Linked DNA regions of Oryzias latipes. The protein of the gene in region 2 interacts with the protein of the main gene of each other region in a pairwise test. Links are inferred from orthologs where the notes say so. Each region holds a gene or a part of one and is shown on either strand. Other genes may lie near its edges.

What was found.
Region 1: the proteins of sh3yl1 (region 2) and sh3d19 interact in binary tests that used the Homo sapiens proteins (3 or more experiments, as listed by UniProt). The link is inferred for Oryzias latipes from reciprocal best matches to the Homo sapiens genes SH3YL1 and SH3D19.
Region 3: the proteins of sh3yl1 (region 2) and glial fibrillary acidic protein interact in binary tests that used the Homo sapiens proteins (3 or more experiments, as listed by UniProt). The two-hybrid records come from large-scale screens. The link is inferred for Oryzias latipes from reciprocal best matches to the Homo sapiens genes SH3YL1 and GFAP.

Annotation. Positions count from the first base shown.
Region 1 is NC_019859.2:19,163,664-19,167,314, reverse strand, and holds the end of sh3d19 (SH3 domain-containing protein 19), read left to right. Parts: intron 1-1,428; coding exon 1,429-1,559; intron 1,560-1,643; coding exon 1,644-1,696; intron 1,697-1,776; coding exon 1,777-1,997; intron 1,998-2,355; coding exon 2,356-2,426; intron 2,427-2,780; coding exon 2,781-2,964; intron 2,965-3,113; coding exon 3,114-3,217; intron 3,218-3,288; coding exon 3,289-3,399; 3' UTR 3,400-3,557; downstream 3,558-3,651. UniProt on the Homo sapiens protein: May play a role in regulating A disintegrin and metalloproteases (ADAMs) in the signaling of EGFR-ligand shedding. May be involved in suppression of Ras-induced cellular transformation and Ras-mediated activation of ELK1.
Region 2 is NC_019860.2:11,149,132-11,152,782, forward strand, and holds part of sh3yl1 (SH3 domain-containing YSC84-like protein 1), read right to left. Parts: coding exon 3,634-3,651; intron 3,542-3,633; coding exon 3,428-3,541; intron 1,437-3,427; coding exon 1,372-1,436; intron 1,291-1,371; coding exon 1,178-1,290; intron 1-1,177.
Region 3 is NC_019866.2:4,110,253-4,114,408, reverse strand, and holds the start of glial fibrillary acidic protein, read left to right. Parts: upstream 1-1,321; 5' UTR 1,322-1,351; coding exon 1,352-1,863; intron 1,864-3,609; coding exon 3,610-3,670; intron 3,671-4,156.

The DNA.
Region 1 (3,651 bases), on a different chromosome or scaffold from region 2:
GTATAACTAAGCCATTTTTGCCAAATCCCAAAAACCTGTGTCGCTCTCTAGGACATAGTTTCTGCAGATTGGCAGGAGTTCATCAGAAATTCCCCCCTGGGTTGTGGGTGGGGCCTCCGTTACTTCCTGTCATCCATTTGTTTATAGTCTTTCCCAATAGTTTACAGCCCCCACAACCCTAAGCTAATCTTAGCAGTGCAACAAAAATGGTGAACAGTATTTGCGTTATCCAGCCTTCCAGTTTTGAGCCAGATGCCATCTTGGACGAGTAAAAACAAAGACATAAATTGATCTATTTTTACATCACAAAACAAGCATTTTCTAACAGCATTTTTTCATCTGCTCCTGGTCGACAAAAAAATGAAATGCAACTTTAAGCTTATATTCCTTTTTATAATTGTCCTCCATCATAAGAAAAATGCAAAAAAGAACCCTTTAAAAACACCAAAAAAAAACTAATTTTCCTCAGAGCGTGTCTTTAGAGAAGGTACAGCCCTGAGAGGAACAGAAGTCTCACTTGTTTGTAGAAGATGAATACTTATTTTTTGTAGTTTTACATGTAAATAAATAAATTCTTCAAAACTCATACAATGTGATTTCCTGGCTACTTTTTTACATTCTGTGTCTCACAGCTGTAATGTACCTATGATGAAAATCCCAGACCTCTCATTTTTTTCAGTGGGACGATTTGCAGAATTTGTGACTGACTTTTTTGATTTGCATTTTTAGCTTAGCATAACATTATGTTTGTCAGGTACAAATATATCTCATTGTAACACTGGTCAAACATAATGTGCTAATGTTTTAGTGTCGTTGCAGCTACACACTTCAGGTCTCTGAGTTCTTATCTAAGGCTGGAGCAGGTGCCCCATCAACACATCATTTTGTTCATTCTCAGTTTCGAATTGTGTATCTCCAAGTCAGACATTCCCATTCACAAAATATTATTAATGATGCAAAGGTGTCCCTGAAGATTTGACTATTACAGCACACAAATGCAGAACTACCACAGTTCTGAAAGAGTGTCTCTATGTCCTAACTCAGTTATGTTGGGTGTCAACTTCCTAATTGACCCTTTTCAGGAAAGCTCTGACCTTGTAAATAATCCTCCTTATGCATGAAGAACTGCATTACTGAACTATTTTTGACTTCTTGCTCAAAAAGACAAAGCAATGGTCTTTGTATTCTATTTGAATCCTGAAAATCACAGAATGAAAGTCCCACACTAGCAACTTTAAAACTGGTAACATTTTTATTTAGTGTACAAAATAAAGTTTAGGACATTCTTTTCAAAAACCCAAAGGTAGCATTCTTTGACATCATTGCTAACTTTCACAATATATTTTGCTCCTCGATACATTTCCTGACTAAAATATAATTGAATTTGGAATTTTTAAATTTACCCTTGATTGGATTTTTATTTTTTAGAGAATCCAGAAGAGCTGAGTCTCAGAGCAGGAGATGTTGTGACAGGGGTGGAGCAGGCCGACGATCAGTGGTACAGAGGCACATGCAGAGGATCCACAGGTTTCTTTCCAATTAATTATGCTGAAGTTCTGGTAAGTCTTGTTTTTATAATTCCCTGTAAAAATACAGTCTCGATGTAAGGCTTTTAAAAAAGTAATATTTATGTCTTCAATCAGTCAAATTCACCTGTCCCTGAAAAGAAAGAGAAGCCTTCGCTTGCATCAATCAGGTACAGTTCAGGTGATGGTGAAACCGGTTATTTACTTATTTTTCAAAGTCCCGATGAGCTTTTTAAATTATTCCTTGCAGTGGTCCGAGGTGCGTGGCGAGGTTCGACTTTGAGGGGGAGCACAGCGATGAGCTGACCTTCTTTGAGGGGGATGTGATCCAGCTACAGAAGTATGTGGGGGAGGAGTGGGCGCAAGGGCAGATCGGCGCCTCGATCGGCATTTTCCCTTTGAACTTTGTGGAGGTCGTTGAAGATCTGCCGCCGCCTCCAACCCAGCAGTTGAACCAAATGTTTGTTCCAGGTGAGGGAAATGAGAGTGCTTTTACATTTTTCTACACAAATGTTTTTGTTCATAAGGAAAGAGCACTTTAAATCAAGCTCTGTGAGGCATTTGATTGACTGTTTGTCTTTCATTAGAGAAAGGTCTCCACCGCATGGGGGAGTTGATGAATGCATGACCTTGGTTTTTGACCCCACTCCTATAAAGTTGCTAAAAATAAAAACGTACAAATCCAGTTGCTAAACTCTTTCATTTTCTAGAATGTTTTGATTTATTTCTTTTTATTTTGCAATTATGCAACAATTCCCTGAGAAACGCTCCTACCTAAATACGTATCCTTTGCTCTTCTTGTTTCTTAATAAACTGTTCATTTCTGCAGGTATTTCTGCTGCTGCTGCCGCCGCCGCCGCCCCTCCCAACATACAAGCTGAGCCTGCCAAACCTGCTAAGGTAATATTTATGTCAGAGGACACCCCAACAAAGAAGATGCTGGTTATGCTGACTCCCAATACATTAAGTACCAACATATTTTACCTGTGCAACAAAGCTTGAGGGTTTTATTTTGAATTCCCACTGTTGTAAGCATTATTTTTGTGTATTTTACTACCTTAAAACCTTATTACAGCTGTGTGCACACAACTATCTAAATATAGCTCTGTGCATGTACAGCCACATTGTTACAGGATGATCCAATGTTTTTAAAGCTGTACATTTAGCATCCAAATTTTTGATACTGGCTGTTTTTTAATGTCTTCTAGATGGACAACTTTTCATGGTTTCTCTTGTTTGTGGACTCTCCTGTAGACTTCCAAACCTAACGAATGGGCAGTGGCCTTGCATGATTATGCAGCAAAGACTTCCAGCGACCTGTCGTTTCGCCAAGGTGACCGCATCCTCATGACCAAGCACTTGGATGAAAAGTGGAGTTGTGGCAAACTGAATGGCAGAGAGGGCATGTTCCCCCGGATTTATGTTCAGACCGTAATAGGTACACTGGGATCTAGCTTATTTGTAGGCCTGTTTTTAGAAAAAAAAGATCCTATTTTCAACATTTAACTGTTTTTATTAGTCAGTTAATTGTAATAAAAAAAAAAAATTCGAACTAAAATGTTCACTATTTTTTCCTATTTGTTACAGAAGAACAGCCCACTATTGACCTGAGAAGTAAAGCTGCTGGTGGAATGAGAGCAAGAGCTTTATATGACTTTAGATCAGACTGTGATGAAGAACTCTCAATTCAGGTACCTTTTTTTTTTCTTTTCCTGCAAGATTCTGCTGAATAAAAGCATCAATTCAAAGTCTTCTTTTACAGTTTGGTGATATCTTGACCAACGTGGAGTCTGTTGATGAAGAATGGTTTCTGGCAGACTTGAGAGGAAAAAGAGCTCTGGTCCCTAAAAACTATGTCCAAGTGTTACAATGAGGCCAAACACTGCAAAGATGTGGGGCTGAGTTGATGGAACATCTTTAAACTGCTGTCTATTAAATGTTTTGTAATCCTAAGCAGTTAAACCTTTTCCAACAGTAATGCATTTTAATGGTTTAAGTTATGTGAATTAAAAATAAAATGTTTACAAATGACTTTTTGGATTTTGTGGCTGCAAACTGATGTTGGAAGAAGGTAGATTTACATTTTAAGACCATAATGGCCAGTCTAGTTTTATATACCTAGTCT
Region 2 (3,651 bases):
CACGTTAGCCACATTAGCATTTTCAGAAAGATTACACCCAATCAGCGCTGTGTACCTTTCGAAATTGCTTTAACATCATGAACACATTTTCAAATATAAGGCGATCTAGATTATTAGGTGCAATGTTGTTTTTTGCCTTATAGTGTGAAAAAAGATAGTTTGTATAATAAAGAACAAAAATAAGTAAATAAAATAAGTCAGCTTTTGCTAGAGCTTACACAATCCCAGTAAATTCTAAAGCTCAGAAAAGAAAACACTATACAGTAGTGAAGCGTCTACCCAATAAACCTAAACAACTGATTCTGATGCGGCATACCAGCACAAAATCCGCTGTCAGAATCCGTTGGAATTGCGCTGATTGCGTTAACGGTCAAAGAGCTTGTTATTTTGCTGTGGCAGACCACAACTCTGGGGTAAATTTATTTTCGTCATTTCTAATTCTCCAAATACGCCCAAGGAGGTCTATAGAGTATTTGTGAGTCGACTCCTCCATAAACTGAAGGTTTAAATACAGTTTTTATTTTAAAAAAGCGGAAAAATAGTTAAACACAAAAAAATGATGTAAAAAAAAATCTAAACCTATTATTTAATGGCATTTTGTTGTGAGAATAAAAAGCATAAAGGTTTTCAAAGGGTGCTGCAATTGAGTATAAAAATGGATGAAAAATTTTTTTTGGATCACACCAAAAAAAACTACAAAAAAAGTCTCTAGATTGGTTATTTGGATACATTTTTGCAAACGATTAACCGGATGAAATAACCAAACATTGACATAAAAGACAAAAAAAACATATGGATCCATTTTTGTTTTGTTTTTATGTGCAATTTCTATAATTAGAATTTGTTTTCATGCACGAACACGTTGCATCTTCTTATCTGTCAGTAGCTTATTTAGAAAACATGAAGGAATGAGACATCTGGCCACGCCCACAGGCAGAAAGAAAAACCCACAAAATGATGGGAGCCAGAACCCTCCGAGCGTCCCCAACAACGCCCTCCTTATTCCAAATCACGACAACCCTTTAAAATCTGAGCTAATGCTGCTGTGGATGCCTCAGGCTGTCATCACAGCAAGGCCCGTCATTTCCATCAACACTACACATTAGGTGCAATTAAGACGCAGACAGATTGGAGAGGGTTAGTGGGGGGGGGGGGGGGGGGGGGGGCAGGAATTTACCTGCCTACAGGTCCCACAGCGACGGTGCAGTTCCCGCCCAGCGTCAGGTTCCCGCCCTTTGTGAAGGCCTCGATGGCTCTGCGCTGATTCAGGATGATCACCAGATCCGACACCTGAACATAGTGTGGCGTTGAACAACATCATCTAACACTTTCAGGGGATTTTTCACTCAAAAGTTAAGGAGGTGTACTCACTTCCACCCCAATTTCAAATCCTCCGCCTAGGCCGGCAATACCGATGGCTGAGGGTGCTGACCAACCTGAACATGAAAACCATTTCAAACTTGTTAAATGCTTATGTTCAAACCTGGTTTTATGTTTTTATAAAAGATCAAAGCTTGGCTGAAACCAATCATCCAAAGACATTAGAGTTTAACTTTTGTTCATACAAAAGCCTGCTCAATGCAGGTATTAATCTTTCATGTGTAGTAAAAACATCTCTGCATCAACAGAAACAAATGCACCATATTTTTAGGTTTTAAGATGGGATATATTTTAATCGTACATTTCTTTCTGTTGCTCCCTTTAGCGAACCAGCCATTCAAACCTGTCCCCAATTCCTCCTTGCTCACACCTTCATGTCCTCCTTGATTTGTCCATGAACCGTCTTCCTCCAGGCCTCTTTCCTACTGTCCCTCCTTTCAACCTGCCCAAATCATCTCCATCGGCTTCCCTACATTTATTTCCAAAAACATCTAACATCATCTGTTCCTCTGATGGACTCATTCCTGATCCTATCCATCCTCAACATTCCAAACCAACAACATGGCTGCTCTCACCACAGTCTTCCACACCTTTCCTTTCGTTCTTGCTGACACTCTTCACACCTTAACTTTCCTCCATCCATTCCAACCTGCTTGCACACGCCTCTTCACCTCTGTCCCACATGTGGGTGGACCCAGCAGAGCTTTCAACTTTACTTCGTTACCATTTTTAAAGCTCTGGTGAGCCCATGCCACTTCACGCTTCTTTTTTTTGGTGCAGAATCTAATATGATACAGCATGACGGGTATTCTTTAGATAACTAAGCCTGTGCAACAGCTTCTTATGGCAGACAAAAGCTCATTAAAGACGAGCCTGTATTAATAAGACTTTGGGTTCATTCAGACTGGAAAAATCTGTTGGTCCGGACCCAATCAGCTTAATTTGGTCCAGATTCGAGTCCTGAACCTTGTGTTTGACTGCCGTCAAGGGAACTTTCCTGTTCTGGGCTAAAGCTTGTAAACAAAACCATGTGACTAAATATCTCTTTACTCATTGGTCAGGAATTACGAGGGTGGGGCAGAGCAACTAGAGGCATTATGGAGGTCCTGCGCTTTTAGTTCATTCAAACTTAATATTTCGCTCACAACTTTTGGAAGTCTGCATCAACATCAGGCTCAACATTTTTTACTCGCTTTTTGGTCTGGTGGAGTCATGCTGTAGGGCGGTTACTGGCAAGAAGACAGATAAGAAGGTATGCTAATAAGTGTTTATGACATATGATTGTCAGGAAACAGTGAGTAGTTATTTGTATTATGTTAAAAATTTAAGTTTCTGAATTAATCTGATCAAATTTCAGTGAGTTGCTTTGTCTCAGTTGTGGTGTTATGACATTTTTTTAAAAGAGAATTTGTAAGAAAGTATAAAGGTAGCTTTAAGATGACGTCACAGCAACCCCTTTCGGGCATGTTAAAATAAACGTTCTCACAAAAAGCCTATCCTATTTTTTTGTCTGATAACACAAAAATTGTTGCTTTATATTTGTCCACGGCTACTCTGTCGCTGCATTCCTACTCTGCTTACATCAGCTACAGTGTTCATTTTGGTACAACTGCTCGCTCCGGGTCGGACTTTCAGACCGAGTAACCTCACTTTAAGCTGAGCAAATGTGTTCAGGCTGAATAGCCTAAGAGTGAAAGTATGTCAGCGGTAATACGTCTCCTCTGTGTTTATGCATTCAAAGTATGCCTTATCAGACGCATTAGTCACCAGCAACTATCTAATCTTGTATCCACAGTACAGTATAAAAAAGATTTAAGACTGTTGAGAGTAATTTTAAGACTTTAAATGACTTGCCACCATTTAAACTTAAGGGTGAGCTTTCATGTGAGCTACAAACCCCTAATGACTGTCTTACACTCATGGCATTAGTCTTAAAGTCCTGATTGGGTCATGATAAAACTGACGCGAGCATAACTACAGACATGTCTGCAAACGATTCATAAGCCGGCATCAGAAGTCTGTCCAAAACTCCACGAAAAAGTCTTACTTCGGTCAGCGAGTCTGGCAATGACGATTCCACTGCCTCCTCTGGCAGTGATCATGAAGCCAGCTTTGATGACAGAGATGATGGCCAGACCCTCCGCCTTTGCTATGACATGAGCTGACACACACAAAATATATAAAAGTCACATTTTTTTAAACATAATTCCAACTGTTCTCTTAAAACTTAAAAAAAATATACATTTCTTTTACCAGGGATAAGTTTGTCTG
Region 3 (4,156 bases), on a different chromosome or scaffold from region 2:
TTGATGACAACAACATTCACTGAACTCTTAAAAAAATCTTCTGGGTGGCATGTCTTAAAAACCCATTCAGATTCAAATTAAACTGGGTTTTGAGTGGTTTTACCATGTTCTAGTGGCATTTTTTTCTCATGATAGAGGACATATGTGAAGATAATCAACCTCAAAATTGCATTTTTGTGTATTTCTGTATTTAAATTGTTGTGAATTAGCAGGAAAAACGTTGTTAATGTGATGTAGAAACATCTACGGCAAGCCACTAGCTCCATTCTGATGCATCCACTTGTGGACAAACAGATCCATTTTTGCCATAGTTTTCCTCATCTGAGCTGGGATCTGGATCCAAACTGTCCGACTGGATAGCTCCAATATTGCTCCCATTTTTCCTTTGCTGCTCCGGTTATGTTAGGTTGGTAAGCTAGTGGGAGGGAGTGTAAACAGACGGATGATGGGAAGGATGTGGGGCTCACTTGCAGCAATGGCCACAACCCAAAGGTGGATTTTTAAATATTACTACCGCTATTTGGGCTAAAAACTGCCTCATTGTAAGTAATAGACCACCGGGAACATTTTTATAATAGATCAAAAGAGGATTGGAGTGGGACTTCTTTGAACTCTTCGTTACCAGTCCCAAAATTGAACATACTGGTTTGGACACCCTTTTAAGTCCTTACGTTTTTACGTTTATAATTTATGTTTTACTTGTATTTTATTTCTTCTGTGTGTCATATTTTTATGGTTCTGAGATTTAGAGCTCAAGTATGGAATAAATGTTGGTTTCATTCCTACATTATTGTATTTAACAGGAGAAAGCCAATAGGTTGTTAAAAAACATTACTGCTGATAGTTACTGTTTGTCATAATTCTGTAATCCCGTGCAGAAGTGTGTGTTTAGCCCTAAATGCTGAACTCAGCTGTGTTTGTCTAACAGCCGTCTTCTGCGCTGGATTTGCTCCGATCTGCCAAACCTTGGCTGGGTTCTTTGGGTTTGTTGCCTTCAATCAGAACCTGTTTTTTGTTTTTGTGGTCCAGTTTCTGGTCAGGCTGGAACGGCGGCCAGACGGTTTCACACAAATTCCTTTTCATTCAGTTGGAACAGAAAGAAAGAGGGTAAGACAAAAAAAAAGGGGGGGGGGGAGTGAAAAAGGGAGTGAGTCAGAGGACCAGGAGTGACAACAATCCACGGCCCACAGCTTTTTCAGTCGGATGCAAACCACCCCTTTATGCGCCATTCACTGTCTGCTGCCCTCCCTTCTCCCTGCCCCACCCTGTGGCCTCTGTGTTCTGGACTTGGGGGCAGTTCTTCAACTATAAAAGCCCAGTTTGTCCCCTCTGTGAGCCCATTCCCCCCGTCATGGAGAGCCAGAGAGTCCAGTCCTCCTACAGGAAGCGTTTCGGGCCTCAAGGCCCGGGCAGTGCAGGGGGAAGACTATCGTCCAGCCGCCTCTCCTGGCATGGAACCCCTCGAAACATCTCCATCTCCAGCCCCATATCCCGGACCTCCCTGGGCTCCTCTACCGCGGCCCTGCTGATGGGGAGTCCAGGGGATCGGCTGGACTTCTCCGCCGACTCCCTGCTGAAGGCCCAGTACAAGGAGACGCGCACCAATGAGAAGATGGAGATGATGGGCCTCAACGACCGCTTTGCCAGTTACATCGAGAAGGTGCGCATGCTGGAGCAGCAGAACAAAGTGTTGGTGGCAGAGCTGAACCAGCTGAGGGGGAAGGAGCCCAGTCGCCTTGGGGACATCTACCAGGATGAACTCAGGGAGCTGCGGCGGCAGGTGGACAACCTGACCACAGGCAAGGCTCGACTGGAGATCGAGAGGGACAACCTGGCTGCAGATCTGGCCACGCTTAAGCAGAGGTAGGTGTGAAAAAAGGTGGTTAGTGCAGGGTGGTGCTCAGAGATAACCTTTATCCTTTGTGTCTCTTGTTTGGAACAGAGCTGTGGTTAACTGAAAATGTAACTTTCAATTTCAAATTTCTGAAAAAATACCCAAAAATTAGAGAAACTTAACTCTTTTTTTAAAACACATTTTTATTTTCAAAGGATAAATTTGATTTCAAATGTATTGCTTTAGAATTAAGTCCAGTTTATCTGGATTAGGTTGGAGAAATCCTGGCACAGGGGAAGAAAACGTTTTCCTTTTTTTTAAATTACAAGAGCATTTATATGTAGATTCTTTTTGAGAGGGGGGATTTGTTAGAATGCAGATCTCCATGGTCCGCCTGAGCTTTGCTACTGGATCCCTCTATACAAGCCTGATCCCGACTGAACCCCTCGTCAGCCCCGAAAGAGTGTGGAGGAATGAGGCCAACACAATGGTGGCCCTGCACAAAGAGAGCAGCCGGGGAGATGTTCTTTGAAGCTTCGCATTTTTTCCTTTGCGGCTGCTTGAATTTATGCCAGAAGTTTTAGAAAGAATGACTGAAGGTCTGGGGGGGGAAAAGGTCTTCAGCACAGTCCTCTTTGCCCTCTGCTCCCTAAAAGACGGTAGGGTGAATAATGATACGGTGGCTGAGAGGGTCAGAGGTCACCTCTTCATTGATGCTGCTCCCATACCAAGACTACTCAGAAAACTCTGCATGAACCTATACAGATGTTGGAGTGAGATCGTTGCGTGTCTGTGTTTGGCAGATGGATTGTGGGGCGATGTCTGTTTTTTTAATTTTTTTTTATTTTGTGTCAATGTGTGTTTGCATCCTCCTTCCCGTGGGAAAGGCCTCTGGCTGTTAGGTCGCAGTGAATGTGTAATGATGCATAAGCTGCCCTTTCAGCTGAGCCTGGCTCCTCCTCCCCTGCACCACAAGGAGCAGCATTAAAAGCATAAAAGTAGCTGATGTTGTGTGAGAACAGAGAACGACGGGGTTATTTGATTCCAGACCAGGGAATCAAACATCATCAGGGAAAAGGGCAGCATGTGCACTTTTTTTGTTTTTTGCCCCTTAGACGATACAGAAATAAATATTTTATTGCACGCTGACAGCGAAATATGAGTTTTGAACGATGTACAAAAATGAATCGTATAATGGAAATAATGTTAATGTGAAACTCAGCCCTGATTCAAACCCAATCTTCTGGGGACCTCAAAGCAGGAACCTTCAGGGGGCCCCACCCCTGAGGATATTGATCACATCATTGTGATGTATAGTTGTGTCTGTCAATGGAAAGGAGAAGGAGATCGGAGAGCCTTTCTTCTTTCACCAATTTTAGCTTGGAGAAAGATATCTCTACTGTTGTTGTGGACATTGGAAAATGACCACAAGAACAGTAGATTAATCAACTAGATTAGCAGAAAAATCTGATTCTCCAACTCACAACTGGATGTTATGTGACGTCATTTCCATAAAGGGCAGGGGCTCAAGCACCTCTAGAGGTCCTGTGTGTGCATAGGACCTCTAGGGTAACGCCTGTTGAAGCAAATAGACTCCACTTGGGTTCCAAAATTACCTTAATTTAGCATCTACTTGGAAGCAAAAACACTAAATCTTTTTTTTTTCCTTAGCTGGAAATAAATTCAGAAATTAAGGGGTTCATGAAAAAAAGCTGCATTTAAAAGGTTGTGTCTCCCTTCAGAGAATCTGAAAGCGATCTGTTCTCTTTTGACAGGCTGCAGGATGAGATTGTGCAGCGTCAGGAAGCAGAGAACAACTTGAACGCCTTTAGACAGGTAATCTTTAGTGTCACTGCGTACATTTTGCGCATTTTAGCACATCTGAAATTTCAGTCTGTTTTGATTCGTGCGTGATATACGTAAAACAAAAGTGGCTTTTGCTTTGGTCAGTCGTCGATGTGCTCAGATGTCCAATGAGGGTTTCGATAGACAGGTCTTCACAAGAATTCGGTTCTGAGCTGTTCAAAATTTTGTTGCTTGAGAATGACGAAGTTTACGCATATTTTAGGAAGTTTACACGCAATTAGTACGTAAATCTTACACAAAAGTGCATGATTTTTGTGTGATGCATACACAATTTTGTGGCTTTCCACAACTGTTCCACTTGTGTCTAATAGTATTAGTCATACATTATGTGCCATTGAAGTATGACTTTTAAATCCTGTATACGGCGCATATATGTTAAAATTACGTAATTGACGCACAAATCACTAATAAATTATTTAGGAACAGCGCAACTTTTCTGAGTCCTCGTGTCGTTGT